Linked DNA regions of Pelodiscus sinensis. The main gene of each other region encodes a partner of the protein of the gene in region 2 in a complex. Links are inferred from orthologs where the notes say so. Each region holds a gene or a part of one and is shown on either strand. Other genes may lie near its edges. The genes, in order: GET1 and CAMLG.

Evidence for each region.
Region 1: CAMLG (region 2) and GET1 share a complex: the UniProt entries of both Homo sapiens proteins name them as parts of the golgi to ER traffic (GET) complex. The link is inferred for Pelodiscus sinensis from reciprocal best matches to the Homo sapiens genes CAMLG and GET1.

What each region holds. Positions count from the first base shown.
Region 1 is NC_134711.1:188,076,381-188,091,975, reverse strand, and holds the start of GET1 (guided entry of tail-anchored proteins factor 1), read right to left. Parts: upstream 7,358-15,595; 5' UTR 7,255-7,357; coding exon 7,165-7,254; intron 7,120-7,164; exon of another isoform or gene 6,748-7,119; intron 4,938-6,747; coding exon 4,772-4,937; intron 1,680-4,771; coding exon 1,612-1,679; intron 1-1,611. Other genes in the region: HMGN1 (non-histone chromosomal protein HMG-14), read left to right, coding at 7,772-7,786, 8,164-8,196, 8,280-8,309, 8,388-8,453, 11,941-12,072. UniProt on the Homo sapiens protein: Required for the post-translational delivery of tail-anchored (TA) proteins to the endoplasmic reticulum (ER).
Region 2 is NC_134727.1:28,796,614-28,811,936, reverse strand, and holds the start of CAMLG (guided entry of tail-anchored proteins factor CAMLG), read right to left. Parts: upstream 8,482-15,323; 5' UTR 8,397-8,481; coding exon 8,210-8,396; intron 4,344-8,209; coding exon 3,886-4,343; intron 3,224-3,885; coding exon 3,158-3,223; intron 249-3,157; coding exon of another isoform or gene 234-248; exon of another isoform or gene 1-233. UniProt on the Homo sapiens protein: Required for the post-translational delivery of tail-anchored (TA) proteins to the endoplasmic reticulum.

The DNA.
Region 1 (15,595 bases), on a different chromosome or scaffold from region 2:
GGCCTGGAAGCGGAGGAGTGCATGCAATTTCCTGCCCCCCAGGAATACACAGCTATGAGCATCACCTGGAGGGAACCCATGTGGCTGGGGCTGCTGCAGAAGGGAGCCTGTTGGATTGCTGGCTGGGAGCCACCTAAGGTAAGTGACCCCAGGCCAGAGCCTGCCTCAAGCACCCCAGCCCCTCACACTTCTTAACTCCCTGCCCCAGGTCACCACCCAAATCTTCTGCTTACTGCCCCAGATCACAGCTCCCTCCCAGACCCTATACCCCGTGCTACATCCCTCCCCCAGGTCAAAATTCACTTCTGTACCCCTACTACCTTCTGGATCCAGCACCCTAATCCCCTGCCCAAAGTCACAACCCCCTACTTCACCAAAACTCCCTTTCAGACTTCACATCATCTCCTGCACTCCAATTTTAGCTGCCCTGATCTCCCTTCTACACCCAACCTCTGTCCCAAGCCCCACACCTCCTCCATAGAGAAGTGCGGCCCTTGACCACTTCCCAAAATCGGAGTGGCTCCCAATCAAAAGTTATTGCCCACCCCGGTCTAAGCTGTCTTTCAAGGAAAATTTCAGTCCAAATAGTTGAAGTCTGGTAAAGTTATAAGCAACTGAAAACAGGATCTTATAACTGTAATAGTAAAACAATCTTAATAAAAGGCAGAGCTACCAGCTCAGCCTACAAAGATAACACCTATATTGGGCTTCAGCTGCTTTTTACATAAGTAACAGAGCAAGAAGCCTCCTTTCCAAAAAACTACAGACCAGACATAATCAAACTCCTTACAAATACCACCTCTTTATCGGCCATATCTTCCCTTCTCGGAAATAAGTGTTCACTGGTAAGACGCTTTATCATGCTACATATAGGCTATGTCTACACTACAGAGCTTTTCCAGGCTACTACAAATAGGCTGTATCTACACTGCAGAGCTTTGCCGCGTCCAAGGAACAAGTCTGCTTTTTCAAAAACAAAAATCGGAAAAGCAGACGCGTTTTCCCAGCATCCCGGTAAACCTTGTTCTATGAGGAAGAAGGGATGTTCCGAAATAGGAGTTTTTTCCAGCATTTGGCCCCGCAAAGACGGGCCAAATGTTAGAAAAGCCTCTTTTGGAAGAAAAGCAGAAAAAGATATGCAAATTGTGAACTGATTTTTTCCAACTTTTCTTTGTAGTGTAGACATAGCCTATATGTAGCATGATAAAGCTTCTTACATAGTCAGAATGTCAGATACACATCTATGACTCTGTCTACACTATAACTTTTATCAGCAAAGCTGTCAGTCAGATGTGTGGAAAAAACCACACCCCGACTGACACAAGTTTCAAGGATAAAAGTGTTGGTGTGAACAGTGCTATGTCATGAGTGTCTCCTGCCGACACAGCTACTGCTGCTCATTGGGGGAGGTTTAATTATGCTGCTGGGTGAGCTCTCTCCCACCAGCAAAGAGCGGCTATCCAAAAGACTTTAGACCAACATAACTGCAGCAGCTGTGTCGATGTAAGGTCCATTGTGTAGATATTGTATTAGCCAGTAGCTGCAGAACGGTAAAATATCATTGTACGTATTTTAGTAATCTGCATTATATCATAAGAAAATGTTACTTACTTGTAAAATGTAGAATACAATATTTATCACCCACTTTATTTTGGCTAATTGAGCAGTTCGTGCTTTCACTATGAAAAAAAAATATTGCCATTTGTAGTATTTATATAATAGTAAACATTCTTACCTCAAACTGGTAAATTATTAATATTTTACTTTCCAAGTAAAAATATTCAGCACAAAAGTTATATTCCCATTTATATGCCTTCACTGGCAATTTATTAAAGGAAAACATAGGCTTTTTTTCATTACCCAAAGTATCAGTGTATGCTATGGGGTATCCCTCTGTGAGGGAAGTGCTACTTTCTTAAACAAAGTTACTCGAGAGAATGTTAGAAATACTGTAGTAGTGTACTAGACAAAGTAATGTAATGTATAACTATGGTCAGGGACATCTCTATGGGCCTGTGAGGCCCAGGACACCCCTCCATCCCAGGCCTTGTCCCCCACTCCACCTTTTCCAAACCCATCCTGCCCCCACCTCCACTCCTTCACCCAAGCTCCTGCTCCACCCCTGTCTCCTCCATACCTTCTTCCAGCCTCCTCCCCAGAACAAAACTAGGAGCCAGCAGCGGGTTGCTTTGCTTTCTGCCGTCACTGGTGTGTGCAGGAGTGAGCCTGACCCAATGCTGGTGCCAGACCCCCTTGCAAATCCCTCAGGGCCACCCTTGGCCCAGTGCTTCTGCAGCCCCCCAAAATGAGGGGCCCAGGGCGGTTACCCTGAACTGTCCTATGGACAGGAAGGCTATAACCAAGGGTTCTATCCTCAACCAAAAGGAATCTCTATGCTTGCTGACCTGTGAAAACTTATTTTAGATTAAATACAAAGGAGACTACTTCCTATGCCTCAGAAGTAGTGCACAATTTTTTAGCAGTCACAGGCTATCACATTAGGGATCCTATTATTGTCCTTTTTCCACCATTTGAGCTCATGAGAATGTTTTCAAGAATACTTTCTAGCCTAGCTGAATCTCATTCAGAATGAAAAATCATTTTAGTGTGATTTGCAAGTACAACCTAGACAACCAAATGTTACACCTGAAAAAACAGTTTTCAACGTGAGTTTCAAATGCTGTGGTGCCTCAGAACAATATAAGAAATCCATTTAAAACATGGTGGTCCAGCAGTCAAAAGTTTTATTAAACAGCTTTGTAGAGACAATTAGGAATGTTAATTTAGATTAATCAGCTAATCGAATAGTTGATGCAATTTGCATAGACTATGTGATTAGTTAATAAGGGCGCATCCGCTGTTGCTTCATTTCAAAGGCGAAAGTGCTGCGGGGAGCTTTCCGCAGCATTTCAAAATGGCAGACTCCGGGCTCCATGCGCGAGTCTCCAGCTGGCCCCAGGCTGCACGCACTGTTTCAAGGCAGCGTGCTGTGTGGAGCCGAAGGTCTGGCCCTGGGCTCTATGCGGCTCTGCCGCTTTGAAACACCCCCTCTTCCTTCCTCCACCCTTCCTGCCTCTTTCTGAAAGAGACAGCAAAGGGGGAGAGCAACTAGTTGACTAGTTGTTCACATACCTAGAAACAATGCACTGTAGTATTACCAAGAGGTAAATCTAGGCGAGGTCAACCACAGGCATAGGGCATAGCATTTACTTAGTGGTAAAATCTCCAGTGGGTGCCTTGTCTTCAATGAGACTTTGAAATGGATTGCTAACATGCATTAAATATTCTGTTAGGGTATGCCTACACTTGCACCCTCTTTCAACACGGGGATGCAAATGCAGACATTCAAAATTGCAAATGAACCCGGGATTTAAATATTCCGTGTTGCATTTGCATATTCACGTTATGGTGCTATTTTGAAATAACAGACGCCGTTTAGACGCACTTATTTCAAGAGAAAAACCTTCTCTCGAAATAACTGGTAAACCTCATTGTATGAGGAATAAGGGTTATTTCGAGAGAAGGGTTCTCTCTCTAAATACAGGCAGTCCCCAGGTTACGTCCAAGATAGGGACTGTAGGTTTGTTCGTAAGTTGAATTTGTATGTAAGTCGGAACTGGTACATATTGTAAGGGAAACTCTAGCCAAACATTTCTCCAGAGCTCAGTTTTATTCTCCCACACCTCACTTCCCTCAATTCTTTATTCTCAAGCTGAGGTGTCTGCTGAGAAAAGCCGCTCCGCATCTCCCTGGTCTGCTGGGGGGGGGGGGGGGGGGGGCGCTAGCTTCGTGTCTCCCTGGTCTGTTGGGGGGAAGCAGCTAGTACGGGGTTACCTCACCCCGTTTGTAAGTAGGGATCCGATGTAAGTCGGATCCATGTAACCTGGGGACTGCCTGTAACCGTGTTTTAACAGCATGTTATTATTTCAAAATAGCGCCATAACACAAATACGCAAATGAAGCGCGGGATATTTAAACCCCGGCTTCATTTGCAATTTCAAATGTCTGCATTTGCATCCCTCTCTTGAAAGAGGGTACAAGTGTGGACACACCTTTATAGAAAAACACCCATACCTTTTTGCAGTGAAGACATAGGCTTAGTGGCTCACTTCCATGTCATAAAGGCACGCTGCTGTTTTGACTTGAGTTCAAAAAGTCTAAGGCTATGTCTATACTGCAGAGCTCTGCTGTGTCCAAGGATCACGTCTGCTTTTCTGAAAACAAATTTCAGAAAAGCAGACGCATTTTTTCAGCATTCCTGTAAACCTCGTTCTATGAGGAAGAAGGGATGTTCCAAAAAAGGATTTTTCCCCAACATTTAGCCCCATGTAGACGGGACAAATATCAGAAAAGCTTCTTTCGGAAGAAAAACGGAAAAAGATATGCAAATTGCAGTTCACAACTTGCATATCTTTTTCTGACTTTTCTTTGTAGTGTAGACATAGCCTAGGTGTACTAATTGGAATGTTTTTTCAGAGACAAAAAAAATGAAAACTTGCCTTCTGCCTCAGCTTCTGTGTGGATTCCTCTGAAAAGCTTTTATATAACACCCTGCAATTCAGAGAGACTCTAAACCCCACCCTCTCAGTGTTATTCTTAATAAAATAAAATAAAATAAAACAAAACTGAACCAAACCAAACCATGAAACTTAAAAACAAAAAAAGGAAAAGGTTCTGCAAATAAGGACAAATAAAGTCAAAATAAAAACACATACTTGGAAAAAGAAGTGTTTTTAGGTAAACGGAACAAGTGGTAAATATTGCATTCTACCATGAGTTTTAAGCTTGTCAGTCATTTTGTTGATCTTTCTTTCCAGTCGGGCATATCTTGCAAACTCATCCATCATACTAATGGTTGTGAGTTCTTGCTTCATGTTTTGAATTTCAGCTCTCATCTGGGATTCCTGCTCTGCATCCTTCTGTAGCAATCTGGATATCTACAAAGGAAAGAAACTCAGAATTATCAGCCTTTTGGCTAAGATCAAGTGTACACAATAAAGAGCAAATACCACAGAAAAAATTCACAGCATCAGCTAAAAGACTCAAAACCTCGCAAAACAAATTAATCAACTTTACACCCATCCCCTCAGAAAAATCTTGAATAAATACACAGGCTGTACAACATAGCATCAATCAGCATTCCCTGTAAATTGTGCGCTCATGCTGCTGCTCTAGAGAAATTCAAATGCTGTCCAGCAGATTATCAGAGCGCCCACAGCCAGTAGCATAGTGATAGAAATGTAGCCGTGTTAGTCTGGGGTAGCTGAAGCAAAATGCAGGACAATGTAGCATGTGTTTCTTCTGGTGGTGTACGTTCACACATGCCTCAGTGCACACAAATAAAATTTATTCTGCATATGGTTGGGAAAAATTAAGAGGGAACATTGTTACAAACTGGTTAAATGCTTCAAAACACTGGAATTGCCATATAGGATCAGACCTGAGGTCTACCTAGTCCAGGATCCTGTTTTCTACAGTGGCTAGGCAGAAGTGGGATAAACTGTCTGCATACCCACCTGGAACTCCCTTATTATAGCTCATCCTATTCTCTAGTAATCAGAGATTAACTTAACCATTGATATCCCTTCCAAATTTTTGGTTAGCTTTAAGTATTACATCTGATTCAAAAGTTTTAGAGGGGTAGCCTGCGTCTACACAGCACCCTAAACTCAAAATAAAATATGCAATTTGAGCAACGCAAATTGTGTATCTTATCTCAAATCTATTTCGAAATAGCTTATTTTGAAATTTGGCATGTCTACACAGTGCTAAATTTCAAAATAATGTGCTATTTCGAGCCATCCTTTATCCCTTGTACAACGAGGTTTACCGGGATGGCAAAATAGCAAGCTCTTTATTTAAAAAAATATTTCAAAATAACTGGCGGCTTGGGTAGATTCAGGGTAACTATTTCGGGATGCCTCCAGTATCCCGAAATAGCCATCCAGGGTAGAAGTACCCTAACTGAATAAGTTTAAAAAACAACAAATAGTTTTGCAGCACTGTAGAGTAACAAAAAATGTAGATGGCATCATGAGCATCAGAAGTTTCATCTGAAGAAGTGGGTTGTGCCCACAAAAGCTCATGATACTATCTACATTGTTTTGTCTCTAAAGTGTTGCAAGACTATTTGTAGTTTTTTATGTTTATTTTATCTGATATCCTTGCTATCCATATAACTATCTAGGCCCTTCTTCAAATCTTGCTAAATTCTTTGCCTCAGAAACTCGTGACTTTTAATTTAATGCTTTAATTACACATATTTCCTTGTACAAGTTTTAATTTGGTAACTTTTAATTTCACTGGCTGTGCCCTTGTCTGGTATTACCAGACAGGGAGAAGAGATGATCCAAATCTCTCTATTGATCAGGTACAAACTTCTATCCTGTTCCCTCTTATCTATCCATCTTTGAACTCTCTTCACAAGTTTGTGTGTTCCCTTAATCATTCTTTTTGTCTTAACTCCATTTCTGCAATATTGTTCTTAAGATGAGGTACTAAAGTGCTCCAGATAAGGTGTACCAATTAATCAGCATTATTTTCTAATGTATTAGTTTTTCTAGGCTGTAGTTTTGGGGGCTCTATGGCTATGTCTACACTGCTGCAGTTCAAATAAGTGATGCAATTTGAGCTGTGCAAATTGCATCTATTTCCATCTTATTTCGAAATAGTGCCAAATGATGAACTAAGCTGTCTATAGTGAGTGCCACATTTCAAAATAACCCGCTATTCCGAAACGTCCCTTACTCTGCATAGATTGAGGTTTATAGGGTCGTTGGAATAGGGAGCCCAACATAAGGCGCTTGCGGTGAAGGCGCAGGATACTCCGGTATCCCCCAATAGCTCTTGCAGTGTAGGCGTAGCCTGTAGGAGCTCAGTTGGGTTTAGTGGCCATTGCTGAAGCCCCGTGGCAGCGGCTTTAAAGGGCACCTCCCCGCTGGCGCAGGCTCCTGCAAAACAGAGCCGGGTGCAATGTCCACAGCTGGGCAGCGGCAGCCCCGCGCTGCACCCCTGCCCCGCACCCGGGCTCCGAGCCGGGCTGCTTCTCCCAGGCCCGGGCAAAGCCCTCGGGATGGCGGCCCCGCCACAAAGGGCCCTGAGCGCCGCCGCTCGCCGGGGCGGTTGCTAAGGCGGGAGGGAGCGCGTCGCGCTGACGTCACTTACGATGGAGGAGCAGGAAGGCAGGAGGATTTTGAGGAGGTTGCAGAGAAACACCGAGCTCAGCACGAGCAGCCACGCGCCGCCCTCCGCCATTGCCCGCCCACCCCCCTCCCTCGCAACCGCCACCGGGCAGCCGGTACGGCCACGCGCGAGGAGCCGCCACCGAACGGCTTCTTCCCCGCACTGCGCGTGCGCATCCGCCTCCCAGCCCCCCCCCCGCCTCCCTAGCATGAAAGCGAACGGCAGGCGTCGCCATGCGAGAGACCTTGACCAATCAGGGGCGTGCTCAGCCCCCAGCCGCTGGCGCGATGGGCCCCGCCCCGTGCCCTGGAACAAGTGACAGGGCCCGCCCTAGGGGCTTGTTGTGATTCGAAAACAGCCCCGCGGGAGGCTCGGCCCAATGGGCGCGCCCCCTTCCCCCGCCCCCCCCCCCAATCCGGCTGGATCCTGTTGCGGAGCCGCTGGCGCTGATGGGATGGGGGGATGGGCGGGCTCCGAGCACTGCAGCGAGGAGACTCAGCTTGGCGGGCAGGCCGAGCGCGGGCAGTAGCGCAGACCTCAGGCGTTAGCAGCAGCCGGTTGTTGGTCGGAGGCCACCGCTCGCCTCGCCATGCCCAAGAGAAAGGTGAGGGAAGGAGCCGCAGGCTGCGCGCGCCCTGGGGCTCCTGGCGCCGCAGACTCGGCAGATGGACGCGCGGGCCTGGGGGAGCTTGGGTCTAATGGCGGCCTGGGGCATCGGCGGCCATGGGCGGGCCCGGCAGCCTAGCGCGGGGCGTTTCCCGGGCTCGAGGCCGCTGCGCCGTTCGAATTTTCTGTGGCCCCTAAACGCGAGAGCACTCGGGGGGTTCGAAATCCGAACGCGGCGGCGGGAAGGGGCGTGTGCGTCCTGACGTCACAGAGCCGAGACCGCCCCTGGAGAAAGAGAGGGTGGGTGCGGTGTTGCTGAGGGACTTGGGCTTTGCGCACGCGTGAACCTTCACTTCTGTGCTCGCTTCTTCGCAGGTGAACGCGGCCGAAGGGGAGGCGCGGGAGGAGGTAAGTGCCGGCTCCACGGGGGGGATGGGCCGGGATTGGATCCCGACGCCCCACTCTCACGCTGTCTCTGTCTCTCCCTCTAGCCCAAGAGGCGGTCTGCGCGCTTGTCTGCTGTAAGTATAGACGCCCCCGGCTGCCCCCTTCCTAGGCGCGGTGTGAGGGGCGAGCACTAAACCTGCCTCTCTCTGCAGAAACCTGCCCCCGCCAAAGCCGAACCCAAGCCAAAAAAGACGGCGGCGGCAGCAGCAGCAGCGAAGGTGAGTGAGAGACACCTGTGAATGGCACAGATCTACCGTTTGGGTGACAGGGCTGGCTCTAGGACAGATTTCATTTGGATGCCGCAATATTTAATGTTAACTGAAGGGAAAAGTGCCTATGTACTTGCATTTTAAAAGACTTCATAGAAGTGTATGGTTTGACTTAACAAAATATTTTTGAACTTGTATTCAGCCTTAATTCAGGGCATGTCTACATATATATTGTTGCAGCTGTACTGATGAAGTTTGTGAAGACACTTTGGTACATAGACATATTGTGAATTAGGGAAAATATCCACTTTCCTAGTGAACCAAGTCTTGGCTGAATTGAGTTTGACTATGTAAAATAAAGATTTTACGTTATAGCAATGCTGTTACAGTTGTGAAACAAGTGTTGTTCTGACACTATTTTCTATAAATGTACTTGTGATGCAAGTACATATAGTATATAACAGACCTAATCAGTAGACTTGTAGTATACAAATGAATTCAGACAGTTTTACTTGGGGTATCTGCCTTAAATCTTCAAATTAATTTTTTTTTCTAATTTCTTGACCTCGATTTTAGAAATAGACACATGAAGATTTGGTGAATTAGAAGTCTCTTACATTTTTATATAATACTGAATGCTTTAAATGGAAAAAGTAGGAAAGCTGTGAATAACTAAATGTGTGTATCTTGAATTCTGCTAATATTCTCAAAAAATGTGTTGATTCCAATGGCTATTCCATCCAGAAATCGATCTGCTGTTGTTCACTTATAGTATTTGTGTGTTAATACCAAGGGCACATTTAGACTGCCCACGGCTTTCAAAAGAAGATATGCAAATTTGGTGCAAATTTGCATATTTTCTTCCAATCCCGTTTTTGGAAGAGGTGGGTGTTTTTTGAAAGAAAAAAAAAACGGTCTAGACATGGTCCTTTCAAAAAATCCCTTTTTTCAAAAGAGCCCTTCTTCCTTAAAAAATGAGGTATACAGGGTTCTTTCGAAAGAACTGCGTCTAAACTGCCTCCCCCCACCCTCCGTTGAAAAAACTCTTCCGAAAATGGGATTGGAAGAAGATACACAAATTTCACTCAAAATTTGCATATCTTTTTGAAAGCCGTGGGCAGTCTAGACATGCCCCTGGAGTTGTATTGGATAAGTTCTGTTCTTTTTGCATAATGCTGTTTATACAAGAAAATGGGTGTGAAATTTTGAAGTACAGGCAGTCCCCGAGTTACGTGGATCCGACTTACGTCGGATCCACAGTTACAAACGGGGCCCTCCCTCTCCCTGGTCTACAGCAGACCAGGGAGAGGAAACAAAGCGGCGGAACACGCGGGCAGCGCACACGTGTCTGGGCTGTCTGCTGCCCTCGGGCTCCGTGGCTTTGCTCTGCTTTGCTCCCCGTCCCCCTGGTCTGTAGACCAGGGGGACGGGGAGCAAAGCAGAGCAAAGCGGGGGAGCACGCGGGCAGCAGGACAGCCACGGTGCGTCTGGGCTGTCCGCTCTCCGCGGCTTTGCTCTGCTTTGCTCCCCGTCCCCCTGGTCTGCAGACCAGGGGGACGGGGAGCAAAGCAGAGCAAAGCGGGGGAGCCCGAGGGCAGCAGGACAGTCACGGCGCGTCTGGGCTGTCCCGCTGCCCCCGTGCTCCACGGCTTTGCTCCGGACGCCTGTGGTACAGCAGCTGGGGTGCTGCCGGTTGGTCCCGTAGCGCCGCTCTGGGCGCTACTAGACCAACCTGGCAGCACCCCAGCTGCTCTGCCCCAGGTGTCCTGATTCAGCCACTGCTGGTCAGTGTCAGCAGCGGCTGAATCAGGACGCCTGGGGAAGAGCAGCTTGGGTGCTGCTGGGTTGGTCCAGTAGCACCGAGGAGTGGCGGCGCTACTGGACCAACCCAGCAGCACCCCAGCTGCTCTGCCCCAGGTGTCCCCAAGTCAGCCGCTGCTGAAACTGACCAGTGGCTGACTACAGGAAGCCCCTGCCCCGGGCTTCCTGGAATCAGCCGCTGATCAGTTTCAGCAGCAGCTGACTTGGGGATGCCTGGGGTTCTTAAGTTGAATCTGTATGTAAGTCAGAACTGGCGTCCAGATTCAGCAGCGGCTGAATCTGGACGCCAGTTCCGACTTACATACAGATTCAACTTAAGAACAAACCTACAGTCCCTATCTTGTACGTAACCCGGGGACTGCCTGTATAGCAGTGTCATATCTAAAAGATAGAATTTTTAGCTAAGTGAAGGTAGCGCATTCCCCTTAGCCTATTTTCTTACTAATACAGTATTGTTAATTGGTTTCTTATTGCTCTCGTCTAAAACACTAGTAAGTCTTAATCTGTTGTTCATTTATAGTTATTGGTATTAATACAATTAATATTAGACAAAAGTATTAAATTTTTACTTTTATGAAACTCAGCTGAGGCATTCTTTAGACTGCAACTAAATGATAAAGTTTGTTGGGAAACTTATACTGACTTTTACATAAAAGAATCCATCTGGTCAGAGAGAATCTCTGGCTTAATCATACGAGTTTGGGCAAAAATATACAACCTCCTTCCACTGATTGTGGAATGTGTTCTTGAAAATATTTTACTGTGCTATTAAATTACAACTAGGAGGCTGCGCCCCCTGCTCACTATGGTCATCAACCCCCCTCTCTCTGGCTACTGGTGAGGGCCGGGCCACAGCCGCACCAGCCCTGACTTTCTCCCCCTGGCCACGACCACAGCAATCCTGGCTCTGGCCATTACTGCTCCAGCTCTCCCTCAGCCACAGCCGCACCAGCCCTAGCTCTCCCCTTATCCGCCCTGGCTGCAGCTAGCCCCAGCTGTGTGTGCCACGGCGGCCACACCATGCCCAGCTCTGTCGTCCCATCCCATCCCATCCCATCCCCTGGTGGCTGGGCTGGCAGTGTGTGGTGGGGTCTTGGGCAGAAGGGGCAGGGCTGGGAGCTAGGCATTACCTGCCCATGCCTTTTCCCCTCCCCCCAGGCTGTGGATGCTGTGATGTGATGGCATCACTATGTTGTCCCAAAATAAATTTATTTTTATATATATATAGGGGGGAGAGGGGGAGGACAAAAGCTTGATGTGTTTTGGTGCTTCTGACGTAGAAGGGCTTGCATTATTTTTTGTTAAAATATTAGCATGATCAAGTCATAGACTTAGTAAATTGGTTAGTGCAACTCTACCAACATACTTAAGTTTCTCTTTTCCAACATGTATTTTCCTCAGTGTTAGGACTCTCAAACAGTTTGCCACTCATAGAAAAACATGTGGTGGTTGTGGCGTCTGAGAAATTGCTATTGACTTTCTTATAAATAGGTCAGACTGAAATCAAAAACTAAGTTCTCTTACTTCTGGAAGGGAGATGGTTTCTATATATTGTAAAACAAATTTTCATTGGCTATGGAGCACATCGTTTTTTTAGGTCTTTTTTTAATATTGAAAATTAAGAACCATCTTGTTTTAAAAGGTTATCTGAATTCCTACATTTACTTTATTGTAGGATAAATCTCAAGACAGGAAAACTCAATCAAAGGGGAAAAAGGGACCAAAAGGAAAACAGATTGAGGAGATTAACCAAGAAGAAACAAAGGACAATTTGCCTGCAGAAAATGGAGAAACAAATAGTGTGGAGGTAAAGTGGTAGCTTTAGTCTTAACCTAGACAAAAGATTGTCTCTTGAATATGAAGAGTTCGTATAATGTAATACACTAGTTAATCTACACATCTGTCGCCATCCAATTTGATTACAGCTCAAAAACCTTACATCAGATTGAGTTTCTGCAAAATGTCAGGTGTAAATGCGTATTGCAACCTAGGAGATTTAGCCATACATCTTCTATTAACTTTACTGGAAGATATGTAGGCATCAGAACAGCTGTGAAAATTAATTGGAATTTTTTAATCTGAAAACGTAAGATTTTCATTTTTATCACTCTATTTTCTGTGAAACTGCTTTCAGTAAAAACTCATAAGATTGCAGCCAAATGAGGCAATAGAGCCTCAATAGAAGTTGCAGTTTGCTACAGCTCTCGTGAAGCGCTATAACTGGTTTTAGACCAAAACCTTTGAGCAAAAAACTGTTTTCTGCAGAAAGCAAGAAATATCTCAATTCCATCATGTTAAAACTAATTTTTTTTAAAATAGTTGATAGAAAATTTTCTATCTCAGTGGCTTTATTCCAGACTATTCTGAAAAGCTTATATGGTTTCTGGCTTTCGTGGTTGCAAAGAAATACTCTAGAACCTATGACCTGCAATCTGGGCCTCTTCAAGTTTCAGTGCCCTTCCCCTTCTGGGAGGAGAGGAGTAGAGCACTGGCAGTCCCGAACCTTGGGGGCAGCCCCACTCACTCAGGGGCTGGAGTGAGAGCTATTATACTTCTTTTCCCCTCTCCCCCCTTGTTGGGAGCTTTTTCTCACTGGTGTGTGTGCCCCCCGCCTCCCATGAAAAAGATTCTTCATCTCTGTTCTAGAAAGATAATTGATGCAAATTCAGTAGACTTTTTAAAGTTATTTTCAGACTGTCTGCAGCATCAACTGGGGAGGACAGGTACCAGGGGGGCCAGAAATGATCTTCCCTAGGTAAACGTGTCACTGCTGAAAAATTCAGCAGTGACACGTTTACATTCGGAGAAGAGCAGGCTGGCTCCTGCCTGACCCCTGGCAGCTGCTGCCTCTGTATCAGCGGCAGCAGTGCAGGGGGGTGCATGTAACCATGAAGGTTAACAGATGGGGCCCAGTCTCATCAGTTAATGGTCTACAGGTTTACCTTTTCACATTCCTAGTACAAACCACAGCAGACTTGCTCTTTGAGGGACCCAAAATATTCACAGAGGGTATCGATAACTGCCTATACTCCCGAGTAGAGATGTTAAAATGTGGTTAATTGACTAGTTGAGTAGTCGGTGAAATTTCCATCAACTAGTCAATAGGCACTTCTGCATTCCTCCTTTGAAATGTACAAGAGCCCCAACGGAGGCTCTTGTACATTCCAAAGGAGGAATTCGGAACGCCGTGTACAGCCAAAGGCCCTTGGAAAGTCCTATTGACTCCGGGCTGCACGCGGAGTTTTGCATTCCTCCTTTGGAATGTACAAGAGTCCCCAGCAGGGGCTCTTGTGCATTTCAAAGCCATGGAGCCCAGGGTCAGCGGGGCACTGCCCATAATCCAGGGTCAGCTGGGGAAATGCTGTGCAGAGCCTGGGATCAGCTGGGGAGTCCCCAGCTGTCCTTGGGCTCCACGGTTGCCCCTTTGAAGTGCGCAGAGGAAGGGGCAGCTGCAGCAGAGCTGATCCCTGGTTCAGCTGTGCGGCGCTGCCTCTTTGAAACTCCAAGCACTTGGCGTGGCATTTCCCCAGAACCAAGGATAAGCTGGGGAATCCCCAGCTGACCCTGGGTCCATGGCCCTTTGGCATTTTAAAGGGGCAGCGCTGCTGCACAGCTGAGCGGCAGATCAGCTGTGCAGCGGCGGCCCCTTTGAAATGCTACCTTGGGGTTTCAAAATGGCAGTGCCTCACAGCTGATCCCTGGCTCAGCTGTGCGGTGCTGCTGCTTTAAAGTACCGCCCCCCCTTCTGCTTTTATCTCATAGAGGCAACAAGGGGGGTGAGGAATTGACTAATCAGCAGACTATCTGATAAGCAAATGCTTATCGGATAGTCGATTAGCCTTTAACATCCCTACTCCCGAGTTGCTCTCTGATCTCTCAGCATTTACATACCAGAGATGGAAAGATGCCTGAGAAAGTATCATGTTCCCCTGCAATCGTGACCACTGCTGTACACTTCCAGGGACACTATAATATTCAGCGCCAACAGTGGAAGTCCCCTACCAAATTCAGACAGACCAGTCCTCAAGGGGCTACTCCAGACACGCAACAATTTTGAAGATGATGTCGAGGCCCAAAAAAGCCTTCCCTTGTTAGTTATACTACCTATTTTTGACACACTATCAGAATGGCAACTGTTGTTTCCATCATGGAGCTTAATCACCTTGGACAAGTGGGTTCTAAAGATTGTCAGGGAAAGATATTCCATCCCTTTCTTTTCTATCCTTTCCTGCCATCCTCTCTCCTCAATCCCTCTTCAGGGATCCTTCTCATTAATCCATTGTATAAGAAGAAATAAATCTCTGCTGTGCTGGGAATCAGAAGCAGTTCCTTCCCGACATAGAGGACAGTGTTTTTATGCCCATTATTTTCAGATCCAGAAGAAATCTAGATCCTGAACCTTGAAAACCATCTTGAAGCACTGCAGTTTAGGTTACCCTCTCCACCATTAGCCCAGTACTAAAATACAGGGTCTGGCCATTGATCTCCCAGAGGCATATTTCCATATCATAGGATGCATTGCCAATAGACAGTTTCTCTGATTGATCATGGGCACTGACCAGTTCATCAGTGCAAGATACTGTCTTTTGGACTATCAGTGGCCTCTCAGGTATTCTTCAGAGTTCTTGAAGTAGTTGTTGCCTACCTAAGGAAACAAGGCATACTTAGATGACCCCACAACTTAGTCTTCTCAAGGCCACATCCGACACCAATGCTCTGTGCCCTCCAGGTGACAATTGACCTTTTTATGAATCTAGGCCTTGTGAACCTAGAGAAGTCTAATGGCAGTACAACATCTGGAGTCCACTGGCACCAGATAGATACTATAAAAGCCAGAGCCTCACAGATTTTATCCTTAGGGATATTGTATCCAAGGCACAAGCTTGCTCTCAGATTTCTGCCCTGGATATACCTCCAACTATTCAACCACATAGCAGAGGCCAGTTTTCTGGTAAAGCTCTAATGGTTATACATGCAGTGTTTTTAGGCACAGGTCCATACAGTATATATCCTTCACAAACAACCACAACAAGCTCTTATTTGTGCTGATGAGAGTCAAGGACTTAGAATTCTGTTGGACACAACCCAAGTGTTTCTGTGTTGGGGTTCCTTTCCTCTAACCAGTGCCAACTAGGGATGTTAGCATATAGTGGATTAACCCATAAAATAGGATTTATCGCTTAATCCTAACAACATGCACGCGCAGCCACCCCCCCCCTTTGCAGCTTCTATCAGAGGCAACAAGGTGGGGGGGGAGGTGGGAGCCAGAGCAGCCTCTCTCCGTGGGGAGCTTGGCCCCGCCTGTGGACAGGGGCTGCTGCTGCCTCAGA
Region 2 (15,323 bases):
AGTGATGACCAAAACTGCTCCCTCCACCCCCAATTTTTTTCTGGTCAGGAGATTGTAACCATCTCTGGATGCAACCTTACTCCTGTAATCAATGCCTTTATCATCTCTAAATTAGATTATGACTGTGTGTTCTATTTAGGGCCTCATCTTAAATGGATTTGAGAACAACTAGCATAAAATGCAGTAGCTTACTTGATAAGAAGCTTCTCCCTCCATGGTCAAACATACAGTAGCTACCAAGCTGGTTTCTAGGTCAAATTCAAAATGTTTGTTTTAACATATACAAATCACAAATGGGAAGGTGCCTGTCTGCTTAAGAGACCATCTCTCTCTCTCCATGCAACACAGCTTCAGTTGGCATCAAGCACAGGTGATCACACTGGTGTTTACTGTTTTGTAAATGAAACTGTTACAGTGCTCTCTCAAGGACTCTGATGACCTTCAACATCTCAAATGTATTCCTGTGTCAGTGGACTGAAATAGTCTTAATTTATTGACCATTAGGAGGCTTTGAAAATTCCATCTCTTAGAACGGTAATTAGGAAAGGGCTGAGCCTAGTAGGTTAAGGTTTTTGTAGGAGCTCATGTGGGAATGCTTTATGACTACTGTTCTTGCGATGGATGAAATGGCTATTTATTGTGTTATAGGCTGTGGCTTAAATTATTTGTCTAAGGTCCTAAAATAGCTGTCTGTTAGGCATTTTATATTGAAATTCATTTTTGGAACAACAACAACAAGTCGTGGGAAATTTCAAAATGTTGTAACCTATTACAGTTTAGTGTTGCAACTTACTACAACACAACACAGGTAAATCAAGCCATTTATGAACATTTAAAACACAGTCTTATATTCAGGATATCCCAACATTTTAATAAAGCAATAAAAATGGATACTGATAGCAGAATAACCTGCATTAGCAAATATTAGTCATTGCTTACAAAACAAATAGATCACACAACTGTATCCTAGTAATATACTAAAAAGAAGGGAAAGCAGTTTGGCCATCTCCTCTCAAAATGTGTCAGAAGAGCTGCACTTTCCAACTAGCTAGCACAGAGATGTACAAACAAGCCTGTGGTTTAAAGTAGGGCTGTCAACTGACATGGGTTAAAGCCTGCGATTAATGCAGTCCAGTATTAACGCGTAAAATTTTTAACACAGAGGTGTTAATGCTGCGCTGCCCCTTTGAAGTGCCGATACAGCACTTCAAAGGGGCAGCGCAACGCAGAGCCCAGGATCAGTTGGGGACTCCCCCAGCTGACCCTGGGCTCCACTGCCCCTTTGAAACGCGCAGAGGCAGTGTTTCAAAGGGGCAGCTGCCACACAGCTGAGCCAGAGATCAGCTGTGCAGTGGCTGCCCCTTAGAAACACCACCTCAACGCGTGTTTCTAAGGAGCAGTCCTGGAGCTCCGGGTCAGCTGGGGAGGCCCAGCTAATCCCAGGCTCTGCACGGCATATCCTCAGAACCTGGGGTCAGCTGAGGGCTGCCCAGCTGACCCCGGGTTCCGCTGCTGTGGGGAGCCCAAGGTAAGCTGGGAGCCCCCAGCTGACCCCAAGCTCCACTGCCACACAGAGCCCAGGATCAGCTAGACAGTCCAAGGCTGAACCGAGGCTTCATAGCAGCTGCCCCTTTGAAACGCCAGAAGCGCAGTTTTAAAGGGGCAGCTGCGAAGCCCGGGGTCAGCTGGGGACTCCCAGCAGATCCTGGGCTCCCCGTGGCAGCCACTCCCAGCTGACCCTGGGCTCCACGGCTGCCCCTTTGAAACGCCGCCTTGGGGTGCTTTGAAGTACCCCTTTCCTCCCCTCCCCTTTTGCTTCCTCTATCTGATAGTGGCAGCAAAGAAGGTGGGGAATCGACTAGTCTTTAACTTCCCTACCGGGGACCAGTTGGAGTGTCCAGATGATCCCCAGCTCCGCGTTGTGCTGCCCCTTTGAAACTCTGTGGAGCCAGGGATCAGCTTGGCACTCCAGCTGATTCTGGGCTCTGTGTTGCACTGCCCCTTTGATGAAGCGTTGCAGTGATGCAAAGGAGCAGCGCTGCATGGAGCCAAGGGTCAGCTGGGGACTTTAGCTGGTCTCAGGCTCTGTGCAGCCACAGCAGCATTTTCAAGGGGAGGCGTACGCGATTAAATTTTTTAATTGCTTGACAGCCCTAGTTTAAAGCATCACTGCAACATATACAAAGGGTAATTGTTATCAGCAAAAATATTATTTCCATATTCAAAAAGTCACATCTGAAAGTAGTACAGTTAAATAACTGAATTTAGAATCATGGAGGGTAGAGCTAGAAAAACCTAATAAGTGAGCTAGTCCAGGTAATCTAATCCAGGATGGAGCCTCCTAATACATTGTCTGGTGTTTTCTGCACATCAGTTTAGAATGACTTCTTGAAAGTTATCTGTTTTCAATTACTTACCTAAAAAAGTCCGACCGCACTGTCTATATTTAAATTTACCACCCCTTTGAAATGGAACATTATAATTTTAAACTATAGATCAACCACTGGTTGACTTTCCTTTACCACACTTCATTGTAATTAACTGGGGTAGATATGTAAAGCAAAGGATACAGTTTCCTATTGATGAGCAGGAAGTTACACATGTAAATAAATTCTCACATTTCAAAGTCTTCTACCTTGAATTTGACCCCACATTTAAACAATTATTAAGCAAATGAATTCAGAGACTTTGAAAATGAAGGCCCAATGTTCAGTTCACTTTGAGGGGGAAAAATTCCGTGAGTGCAAAGATCTCAAAGAAACCACACACCACTAATTACAGGTAAGTACTGCATGGATGTCAGGTAAATGCTACATTATGCAAGGAAGAACTAACTTTATGTTCTGATCAGATGCTTTTAATTGTGCTATGACTAAATGTTTGCTAGGTAGAAGAGCAAGAAAATAGAACTCATTTTCACTTGAGGTTTTAAGAGGATTTGAATTAAGATCCTAACAACTTAAAGGCTAATGCATTAACCCACAACAATAGGTGTCTTTCATTTCACTACTTTAAAATGAAAAGAAGCCATATTGATACATCAATCAGTCACTTAAAACTTGTTTGTAAAGTGCATTTTGGGCCCACTCTAAATTATTGTTGCAAAAGTTAAATTTAGATTCTTTTTAATTTAATCTTTTCTAAGTACTGATCTTACCTTTGGAAAATATTTGGACAGTCCCATATATGCAAGTTGTAGAGTAAGAAATGGAGCAAATATTGACTGTAAAGATTGAAAATATGAAAATTAGACAAAATAAAACAAGAATAAACGTATTCCTCCAAGGCAAATGCCAATTATTTGTAATAAAATTTAAGTCACTGCACTGAAAAATCATTTATGTTTATGAACACTAGTGGCCTAAACAGATACATTTAACCATTAAGGTGGAATATCTGCATAATTCTCTTAGGCCCTGACCCTGAAAGGAGATAAGACTGATTTACCAATTATTGTTGCCACAGGTACAATATCACTGCTGTCTAAAGTCAACCCAATTGCTTAGAGGGTGGTAATTTGTGCTAGCTACATATTTTTAGATGAGATTCCAGCTGGAGACACAGGCAGATGCATGAAGCAGTCTGGTGCTAATGTTCTTAGTCTCTAGTCTAGAGGGGATGAAGTTATAGTTTGCACTGATCTCAGCTGCCACCTGGTGGCTGCATTACCCAGACATTGCAGGTACTAAGATGAGTACCTACTCCAAGAAGGTAATGACGTACTACTCAGGGCCTTATACGGTGGACCAAGAGAAAGAGAAGTTCTCTACTCATCTAGTCACCATCTACAGAGGAGGATCCTAAATATATGAATTTAGTCCTTTTCTTGAGGTGACATGAACGTGGGATTTGCAGCAACAAAGCAAAAAATTTTCCTTAACTCACCAAGTACTTGCATACAAAAGCTCTAACTCCAATGGCGAGAAGTGCACATCCCACCAATCTAAAAATGCGAAAAGAATCAAATTCCTCCCCTGCATTTCCGTTCTCTTGATTAGGCTTCTCATTCATCAGCTGGTGTCTTAGCTTCATAGCTTCATCAAATCTTGATAAGTATTGATCTAATCTGTGTCGAGGTGCTCTCTGTGAAGCTTCTGATACCAGATCCCCTCTGCTGCGATGCCGGAGCTCACTAGTACCATCATTACCAAGCTCAGGCGCTTTACTGAACAAGTCCTTTTTATCTCCCTTAAGCTCTATAATGCCACTTGCATGGTCAGATGTTCCTGACAAATTACAGACAGAATCACCAAGTACAATTCGCTTTGAAACTGCAGGAATAGGGAGGGAGTTTGGTTTATCTTGCTCATGCTGAAGTTTTGATTCTGTGTGACTTTCATCATCTGAAGAGGAGAAACAAAAGAGAATGTTATTCCCCATGAATATTTAGATCAGCCTCTCAGCTGATTTTGGGCATCAGATTAATGTATTAAAACACTTTTGTGAAACCACAGTCTTACAATTGACAACATGTTCAAGTTTTTCTTCACAGCATTTATAAATAGTAATTAGTTAGTCTTTCTAAAGGAAGAAGTAAATGAGAAGTAAACGAGTGACTATCGGCAGTCCCATTTTACAAACAAACAGAGAAATTGAGGCAGTGGTTAAATGACCTGCCCTAAGCCACAGAAGACAACTGTGTTAGAGAGTTAAGATTAGAATTCAGGAGTTCCTGACTCTTGCTCCTATGTGCAGACTATTACACCATGTCTCCGGCAGGACAAAAAGCATAACAAAGCCAACTTCAGCATTAAGACAAAAATCTGTTACTTGACAGCACCTTTAAATATATATATACACACACTACAGAGCTTCTAAAGTTACTCTCAAGTTAACAGATTTGTTAATACTGTAGAGCCCACAGCATGGGGCGGCAGCCGGCTCCTCAGGGACCAGTGCATGCCAGAAGCCGGCTTTTAAATTGGCTCCTGGCATGTACCAGCTCCCCCCTGGCAGCCCTGCTCCTGCCCCGCTCCCAGGGAATGAGCTGCTGCCCCACACCGACTCTCATGGGTTCATCCCTGGGGTTGGGCAGTGCAGCCTGGCCCTCCCCCACGAGCTGTCTCTCCCCTCCCCCACAAAGACAGTCTAGAGGAGATGACATGGACTGCGACCTAGTCAGCCTCCCTCACCCAAGAAGAGCTTCCCCCCGGCCCCTGGGCCTGGCCCCAGACCAGCTGCAGTTTGGGGAGAACAGGAGGGTTGCTGCAGGACAGGGAGGGCATTGGAGGCCAAGGCTGACCTCTGACCCCTCAGGACCAGCTGAAGGGCAGAGGAAGCTAGGCTGGGCCCCAGAGCAACATCCCTGGACAAACTGGAGGCTGGGACTGGCCCTCACATCCCTGGCCCCCCAGGGGTAGCCACTGGCTAGAGAGCGCACCTTGGCCCCCCGGGAGGAGGTGCCATGGAAGCAGTGCCATCCTCACCACCATGGGCAGCCCTGATAAGCTTCCCTCACCTGGCCTCCCAGCGCCCTGGCCTGAGCTCCCTGCCTTGAGTCCTGCACCTCCCACCACCTTCCCTGAATTCTGCATCCTCTGCCCTGTGTCCCGCTCACACCAAACCCTATGCCTCCACTTCTGCACTCACTCCAGCATCCCCTACCCCCTGCCCTGAGCCTCCTCCCACCAGCTCTCCTAACCCCTGTCCTCACTCTTGCTAAAATAAAAAGGAGACAGGTGGTACAGATGTCAGAAAACCTGCAAATATTGTCTACCAACAAGCTCTAATGTTTGAATCACTTTCCTTCTTTTATTAATCCAAACTTATTTTTCCTTCTTTTTTTGAAAAATACAATAATTTAAACAAAGCATGTACATTTTCTTTTATTTTCCAAACAAATCCACTACCCCATTATTTCACTTGCAACCCGAGCAGTCATGTGCTAGTAGACACATAAACTGAGAACCAGAGAAGCTAATGATTCTTTTTTTAAAAAAAACAATGAATTGAAAGGTCCAATAGAAGCACCCAATATCATTTACATCGTTTTTCTGAATAATAATTCCTGACATGAGAAAAAAAAACAAATTTGGATTTTGAAAGTCAAATTCTATGTATGAATTAAACCATCCTAATATCTTATCTCACCATCACTGCACTGGAAGGGGATCACTGTAGTAATAACCATTCCTCCTTTTTCTTCATACTTTTAATCTTCTTACCCATCCTCCCACATGCTCAGATATTTATTTGTAGCATTACCTGGATAAATTACTACGCTTCAAATAAATACATTAGCATGTGGAAGGATAGGTAAGAAGAGTAACAGTCACACTATAATGTTACTGGTATAAATTCTGCTGCATGGAAGGGACTCCTGCCTGGGAACGTGTAAGTCCCTTGCAAATGCTAGTGTGACCAGGGATAGTTGCCAGTGAACCTGATGCCATGCCCTACTGGGTGATACAGCCATGCCAGAGGAGCTGTCTACACAGGGTGGTGGCTTCTGCAAGCAATGGCCCAACATGCTGCCACTTTCACAGTTACATTCTCTGTACAGTCCTGCAGCTACATGTTCTCGAATTTGAATCCATGGATATACATTTTGTATTTGCACAGGAAACCATTGAAGTCAACTATAAAACTATCCAAGCAGGAGTTTCTCCTTATAAAAAAAAAAAAAAACTATACAGCTAAAAGGAATCAAGAATATTGTTAAAATGAAAGGACTTACAACTGTACATTTCATCTTCTTTTACTGGTTTTGTTTTTCTGTATCTTTTATACAATGTTAAAAATTGTGGTGTCAGTTATTATAATGAAACCAAGCCTATAATAGTTTCACATAACCACCCAAACCAAACTTAATGGGCTCGTCTACACTGGCCCCTTTTCCGGAAGGGGCATGTAAATTTCATGAGTCGTAGTAGGGAAATGCGCGGGGGATTTAAATATCCCCCGCGGCATTTAAATAAAAATGTCCGCCGCTTTTTTCCGGCTTTTAAAAAAGCCGGAAAAGAGCGTCTACACTGGCCCCGATCCTCCGGAAAAAGCGCCCTTTTCCGGAGGCTCTTATTCCTACTTTTTCCGGAGGATCGGGGCCAGTGTAGATGCTCTTTTCCGGCTTTTTTAAAAGCCGGAAAAAAGCGGCGGACATTTTTATTTAAATGCCGCGGGGGATATTTAAATCCCCCGCGCATTTCCCTACTACGACTCATGAAATTTACATGCCCCTTCCGGAAAAGGGGCCAGTGTAGACGTAGCCAATCTGTTTAATATTGTAATGGTGAAGCAAAGATGCATTAGCTTTTCTTTCTTGGGCCCAAGAAACTCCATAATCAACGCATCAGGGCACAATCCTGTCAACCCCATCCAATGCAGAAAATTCAATTGAAATCATAGTCAATTCTGTGTCAAGAGGGATTTCCAGCATAGATCCTTAAATTGTAAAGTATATTTAGGAGGCAAAATGAAGGGGAACATGTCTTATTTTGTGTTTAAACGGAGCCATATTTAGATCCATTATGCTTTATAGATAACAACATCAACCCTAACACACCCAAGGGCCCTGAAAAGAAGTGCAGTGTGATTCCAAATATAAGACACACAGAAAAAAAGAGCTCAATACTGCAACAAGCTGGTGTGTATCAGTCACCTAACCTATTTTACAGAGGGCAGACGACTCCGAGGTCAGTGAAATGATCTCCACTCCAGACACCGGAGGGAAATCGCACACACGTGGGGTTTGCTGCACTGAGGTGTGTTCCTGCACAGGGAAGTGGACTCCTCCAATCTCTGCAGTACTTATGGGTGTGTTACCTGGTATCACGCAGCAGTATGGGGAGAAGAGGAATGAGGACCCCCCCACACACACACACACAAAACCCCACCACCATCGATAGCAGAGTCATGCCCCCACACATCTTGGTGGGGAAGAGTCTGTTCCCTGCTCCAGAGAGGAGGAAGATGCCATCACTTTCCATGCCCTGAGCCCCTCGTCTTGCCGAGCAAGGAGGTAACGAGAGCCTGGCTGCTGCTACTGAAGCCTGGGGAGGAGGAGGCGAGGTGTGTCCTACGCCCCCAAAGCTAAGGGGCTCCCCGCACCCTCCAACCTAAGCCAGCGCCACCTCCCCTTTCCCTTTTTAATGGGAGGAGTCTCTCAGCAGTCTCCGGCCCAGTCCGGCTGCCCTCGGCGCTCGGGGGTCTCCTGAGCGACCGCTCCTTGAGCGGCCCCTAGCCCAAGGCCACACGCCGCCCCCCCGCCTACCCTTCAGCCCGGCCGGCCGGTGGAAGCCCATGATGCGGTTGATCCGCTCCTCCGACTTCAGCAGCAGCTTCCTCCGCCGGAGCTCGGCCCGGCGTTGCGACGCCGAGAGCCCCGCGGGGACCCCGTGAGGGCCGGGAGCTGACCCGGCCCCGCCGCTGTCTACCGCGGCCAGCGCCTCCAGCTCCATCCTCAGCAGAAACACGACGAGCGGCTCCACCCCCCAAAACAATGGGGCCTGACAGGCCACTCCACCTCCCCCCACGCTTAGTGCGCAGGCGTCACCTCCGCGGTCAGCCTAGCGTCCCCGCCCCCCTGCTGAAGCAGGCAGCGCCATTTTGGGGAAGGGGAGCGGCCAAGGGACCTCGGAAAGCCCTCGCGCCGGTAAGCCTCTCCAACTCGGACCGGCGGCCCAGAGTAAAGATGGCGGCTCCGGCCTCGGGATGACGACACAAAGGAGCGTGTGGGGAGGTGTCGCGCTGAAGCGGTGCCCGTGAGGGGAGACCAGAATCCGCGTGCCGTGAAGGAAGCGGCGCCCGTTGGCTGCCTGAGGAGACGGCGCAGCAGAGGGGCAGGCAACGCGGACGCCCCACTCCCACCAGCGGAGTCAGGCGCCTTCGTTTCACTGGCCCTTTACGGCCCGTTGGCGCTTCGCGGAGCTCCCCGCCCCCAGCCCTCCGCGTCAGCCCCAGGGCAGCGGGCTCTGCTGGACACCAGCGTTACCTCAGAAGGGATCCGACACATCCCTGCACAGATCGAGGCTCCAGCTGCACGAGCATGTGACTCGCTGCTGGAAGTGCGACGTGCTGGGGGAAGCCCTCAAGAGTCAGTCCTTCCCCATTCTGATGGAAATGCAGCTGAAACAAAAAACAGGAGGAGGTAGCACTTCAAAGACCAACAAGATGGTTTATTACCTGATGAGCTTTCGTGGGCCAGACCCACTTCCTGAGATCAAAGAGTGGAAGAAAACTGTCACAATTTTCTTCCACTCTTTGATCTCAGGAAGTGGGTCTGGCCCACGAAAGCTCATCATCTAATAAACCATCTTGTTGGTCTTTGAAGTGCTAAAGCAAAATGCAGGACAATGTAGCACTTCAAAGACTAACAAGATGGTTTATTAGATGATGAGCTTTCGTGGGCCAGACCCACTTCCTCAGACTAACACGGCTACATTTCTACCACTATTCTACTTTGAAGTGCTACATAGTCCTGTTTTTTGTTTCTTCCCCATTCTGGCACTGTGTGCTTGCCTTTGTTCTTCAAGGTATGGGATTATTACTGGCCGGGGCTGGAAAGCGCCTGGAAAAAAACAAGTGGCTCTAATAACTCTTCTGTTAAACCATCTCCGACTAGATTATCAACATCAAACCTTAAAGAGCTGTTTTTAGCACAGGCACCTGTGTGTAAGAGTACAGGTAGGAAGTAGCAAAATGCCAATTTTAGCTACGTAATGTTCTCCTATATTGGACTAGATTCATTAGAATGCAGTGGTAATTTCTACATTTTACAACTTCTGAACTGCAGAAGAAACGAAACATTCCTGGAACTCTATACTAATATTTTACCTGGGAAGCATTAGGTCAAGTTTAATCACTTTCCACAGAACTCCAATTACTGCCCATGTGCCAGGTTGAAATGCCTCAATTAGCTCAATACTATTCCTATTTTTGGGTTTTCTTTGCATAATGGCTATTGAGAATTTTAATCTGTACTTCCCCCATTGTACCTTCCCATTCAGAAATAACAGTTTGTTTTCCTGCGTGTTCTTTATAGGAAGGAGTATAGTGCTGTTTATAGGAGAGATGGCAAAAATAACTTAACGTGCTGCCTTTGGACTCTTAACCTCTGTATTATCATACATTAACATTAGCTTTATTTTTTTTTAATCTGGTCTGATAAACTATTGTATAGCCAGGGATCCCAATGTAAAAGGTGTCAGTCAGTATTAAAAAGATGATAGCAGGAGAGAGAAAAAATGTTCTCCTTGGCTTCTGATAGAAGCAACAATGGGGCTTGAATTGTAGCAGGGAAAGGTTTAGGTTGGACATTAGGAAAAAATTCCTAACTGTCAGGGTGCTTGGAATAAATTGCCTAAGGAGGTTGTAGAATCTCCATCACTAACAGCAGGATAGATAGGCATCTATCAGGGATGATGTGGACTAGATGGTGCTTGGGCATGCCATGAGGGCAGAGGACTGGACTTGATGACCTCTTGAGGTTCCTTCCAGTTATAGTATTCTATGATGATGTAAGGGAATGTGTTTGCATATAATTACTGCACTGTTGATCTTAATACAGGCAGTCCCCGGGTTACGTACAAGATAGGGACTGTAGGTTTGTTCTTAAGTTGAATCTGTATGTAAGTCGGAACTGGCGTCCAGATTCAGCCGCTGCTGAAACTGACCGCCAGTTCTGACTTACATACAGATTCAACTTAAGAACCCCAAGTCAGCTGCTGCTGAAACTGATCAGCAGCTGATTCCAGGAAGCCCAGGGCAGAGCAACTCTGCCATGGGCTTCCTGTAGTCAGCGCTGGTCAGTTTCAGCAACGGCTGACTTGGGGACGTCTGGGGCGGTGCTGCTGGGTTGCTCCAGTAGCACCGCTCCTCGGCGCTACTGGACCAACCCAGCAGCTGGGGTGCTGCCGGGTTGGTCCAGTAGTGCCCAGAGCGGCGCTGCAGGACCAACCGGCAGCGCCCCAGCTGCTCTGCCCCAGGGTCCACAACAAAAGCCTGGTCTGCTGGGGGGGGCACACTAGCTGCGCCCCCCCCCAGCAGACCAGGGACACAGGGAGCAAAGCGGCAGCGGGGGGTGCCTCGCCTCTGAGGCTTTGCTCTGGCGCGGGACCCGCTTTGCTCTGGCGCGGGACCCGCTTTGCTCCCGGTGCCCCTGGTCTGCTGGAGACGGTCCCCAGCAGACCAGGGGCACCGGGAGCAGCTTTTCTCGCCCCGGAGGTCGAGGTGGCTGACCACTGCCTGTGAGCTCCGGGGCGAGAAAGCCCCATTTGTAAGTGCGGATCCGACATAAGTCGGATCCGCGTAAGTCGGGGACTGCCTGTACAGACAATCTCAAAGGACTGAATACTTGGAAAACAACTCTGATAGGAGAAAAATGCTGACAAGAATTCCAGTTACATCTCTTCTCAAAATCTCATGGGCTCTTCAGGTCCTCAGTAGTGCAGTCCCATTTCTAGTAAATACATAGGTGAAATACTGTTTTAGATTCATGTTAGTATTCAAGCTGAGAATCTTTCCTTCAACCAATGTCCTAGTCTTATACTAAGTGTCATTCTGCTAAAGACTCTAGATAGGAAATAAAACGTCCTGATTACATTCTGGAACACAAATTTCCATATCAGATCAATCACTTAGTCCAGTATCTTCTCTCAGACAATGATCAGTACCAGATGCATCAAACGAAGATTTAGATCAGGGCTACTCAACACATGGCCGGTGGGGCACGTGGCCCTCAGCATGGTTTGGATTTACGTAGGCAGGGCTCAACACATGGTCCGCAGGTAGAAGGCAAAACAAAAAAGTAGTCAGTATAATGGTTTTCTGTTGATATGCATTTTAGTAGTTTAATTCCAGGACTGTCATTGCTCATTAAAAGTGCTGTTATATGGGTGGAAATCAGGTAAATATTGCATTTTAATAATATCAGCAGAACTGATTTAAATGGGGTCTGGGTGTTGTGTAGGTGGTGTTGGGAGCACAGGGGCATTGTGGGAAGTGCTTTGTATTCATGTCCATCAGTGTGAAAGAAGCTATTTGCATATACATACAAATATATATGTAACCACACTTAAGTTGTGGCCCTTGGCATGTGTAGTATCAATGTGGCCCCCGGGCTTCCAAAGTTGAGTAGCCCTGATTTAGATTATGGAGTAGACCAGCCAGTTTTAATTATTTCCTTTCATTACTTTTAGATCTGTTGCCTTTCATGTAGGCCTTTCATCCCAATTACCTTCTCTACACCCAACAGCTGTGTATGTTCTATTTGTGCTATTTTTCCTCAATAGCCTGATCACATTTGAATACAGCATTCTAGGAAAGAATACCCTTGATTTATATAAACACTTATTTTCAATGTTACTTTCTAACCTTTTTTTTTTAAACATTCTAAAATAGTGAAAACAGCTGCTCAATTCACAGTGAATTGAGTTATCCATGCCTCCTATTTGTTGACTTAAGTAATTAAGAATGCAGTTGTGTATGACAGTTGAATAGAACCCTTCCTATGTATTTGTCAATACTGAAGTTCATGCTACACAGTACAGATGGAGCTACTCAAGGGTCCCAGAGATGACTCAGCTGTGTCTGTACTCTTTTTTTTTTTTTTTTTTTTTAAAGAATAAGGCATAATACTTGGGGTTCAAAATAGGGATGTTAGCTATTGGGTAATTGAATAGTTGAGTAAATGCATGAATTCTTACTGGTTACTTGACTTTTCTAGTCTCTGGGGACTAAGAAACCAGCTCCCTATGCAGACTAGCTGCTGCCTTTGATACAGAGGCAGCAACATGGGGAAGCAGTAGCTTCTGTCTGCAAGAGATCCAAGCTCCCTGTGGACAGAGGCAGCTCTGCCTCCCCTGTCTGCAGGGAGCTCCAAACCCCACAGTCAAGGGCTGAAGCTGGAGCAGCCTCTGTCCATGGTGTGCTGGGGCTTGCTGTGACAGAGTCTGCTTCAGCAGCAGCCTCTGTCCAAGGGGTGTGTCTCTCTCTCTCTCTCTCTCTCTCTCTCTCTTTCTGAGCTTCCTGTAGACAGAGACCAGCCTCTGCCTGCGGGGAACTCAGATCCCTCCCCCTCCCCGTGCTGCTGCTTCTGATAAGGCAGAAGCACGATGGGAGGGGCAGGCAGCACAACAGACCTGTGAGGGGAGCTGGCATTTAAAGCAGGAGGTGGGAGGGGATGAGAAATGCTTATAGTTGATAAGATTAACCCATAAACCTAGGCTTATTGGTTAATCATACAGTGGACTACACATTGACATCCCTAGTTCAAAAGCCAGTAATTCTGAATTTTCCTTGTTTAAACTAACAGTGGAATTTTACCAGTGATTACATAACAAATACTTCATGTTTTTACTCCTGAAATATGAAGTGCCCCAATCTTTGTATAATTTACAAAACTGACAATTGTAGCAAGTTAGTATTTTCTTCTTTAGCTAGGTAATTATTGTTACTGAAGTGACTAATGCAACCATTGGAAAAAATGTCACCCAGCAATTGGTCAAATATGGAATCCCACTTGTGTAACTAAAAGGACTAATGGACTTTTGTGAGCACTTTCAATTAGTTTTATTGAGTAGCCAAATCTTTTAAATTAGCACAGATAAAATAAGCATTTGCATGTGTTACAAATGACTTTTTACAGGAATAAAACAGTGAAAATTACAAACTGTAAAAAGGAGGACAAGTAAATCCTGTCTCAGATTCAGAAGGGGCAAGATTTATAACTTCACGCTGAAGATCTGTGTCTGAGTTTCAGAAAACAAGGATTTAATATTACAATATTATACACTACTTTACAAAATTAAATGTATAAGGATTACATCCATAATAGTGAACAGAAGCTTAAAATCACATTTGATGGTCCCTTATATAACAGCCATTCTGCATCTTTGATTATAAATTGTTAAGACATTAGCTCTGAATAAAAGAAATGTAAATCTTATTCTAGTTATTGCAAAATAGTCTATTTAGACTGAGATTCAAATATATTAAATTATAAAGACGTATACAAATTAAAATGGATGGTACTGATGTTGACTGAAGTAACATTAATGTGTCAGACAAATAGTTAAATCTCAGAAACTAGAAAAATATTGTAAGTGTACTATGGTAGTTGTCACACTAAGATAACAACCAGGGCCACCCTTGTCTGTTTTTATTGTAAAACAGTATTCTTGACATCTGTAAACAGTGAGAAGTATGACAAAGGCAATTTACACAAGGGTGTTACTCTGCAATGATGTAAAAATAATACAAACTGAAGCAGGAGAGGTTTGTCTCTGACTGCATGGAATTAAACTAGACTTTCAATAGTGCAGGATAGTCAGTCAATTCATTATAGACATTCCAAAAGCACTGTACTCCAAATGGGGTTAATTTGCTTGCTGTTCATAAGCTTTGCATAAAAAAAATTAGGGATCATAACTTGAAATGTTGTTGGTCATTGAATTGGCATGTAGACTGACATTCACAGCTGTTAACCTAATTTACATAAAGTGAAGCTTTCTCTGAAACAGATGCTATATTTTAAAATTAAGTTTATGGACTATAATGACAAAGCACGTGGTGATAGTAAGGAAAACCACAGGCTTTTGTGTGTGTTATGAGATATATGGATTATTTCCAACATCTCAATGGGTACATTTTGTCATCACATGCCTGGAGTGGATTACCACTTCATAAAATTGTGGTTGTCGGAAGGACTGATTCTCATTTAAGAAATAATAAAAAATAAGATTTAAATGAAACCAGAAAAGTCATTTAGTGAATTTTAAAACAGAACTTCCCCTACATACTTACTTTATATTTTCATTTTGAGAGAAGATAATGCACAGTCTTAAAAAAAGCTTTTGTGAAATACATTTCTACTAGTTATGTAGACACAGTAGGCAGGGTGTTTAAATCATCTTTGGGAGAAATAAATCAGCACACAATGATAGTGGTTTTCTTGTGCTCAACTTGTTCACTATGTTTCTATGAAGAAACAGCTGCTTCTCCCCTGCACTGAGGTAACTCCCATTAGTTTATTATAACTGGAGCAGAGAAACAGGCTATGGCTGTAGAAACTGTGATCCTATCAGGTCCCGTTAAATCCACTTTGCAAACCTTTCACAAGTTTACTAGCCTAGGCACAATACCTACTTGTCTGCCTTTATTATAAACATTTTACTCACCAAAGAAAAGTTACTTAACCCCAACAAGATTTTAGCAAGTCTGCAGTAAGTATATGAGCCTTAATATAAAATAAAAACAAAGTAAGGTACAAAACTTCTCCTCCCCTCCCCACAGCTCTTTCATAGGCATATAAGGAGCAACAATCAAGTAACATAAGGAGAAACAACCTGTCATCTACAGATTGCTCTCCAATGTACTTTACTTCTCAA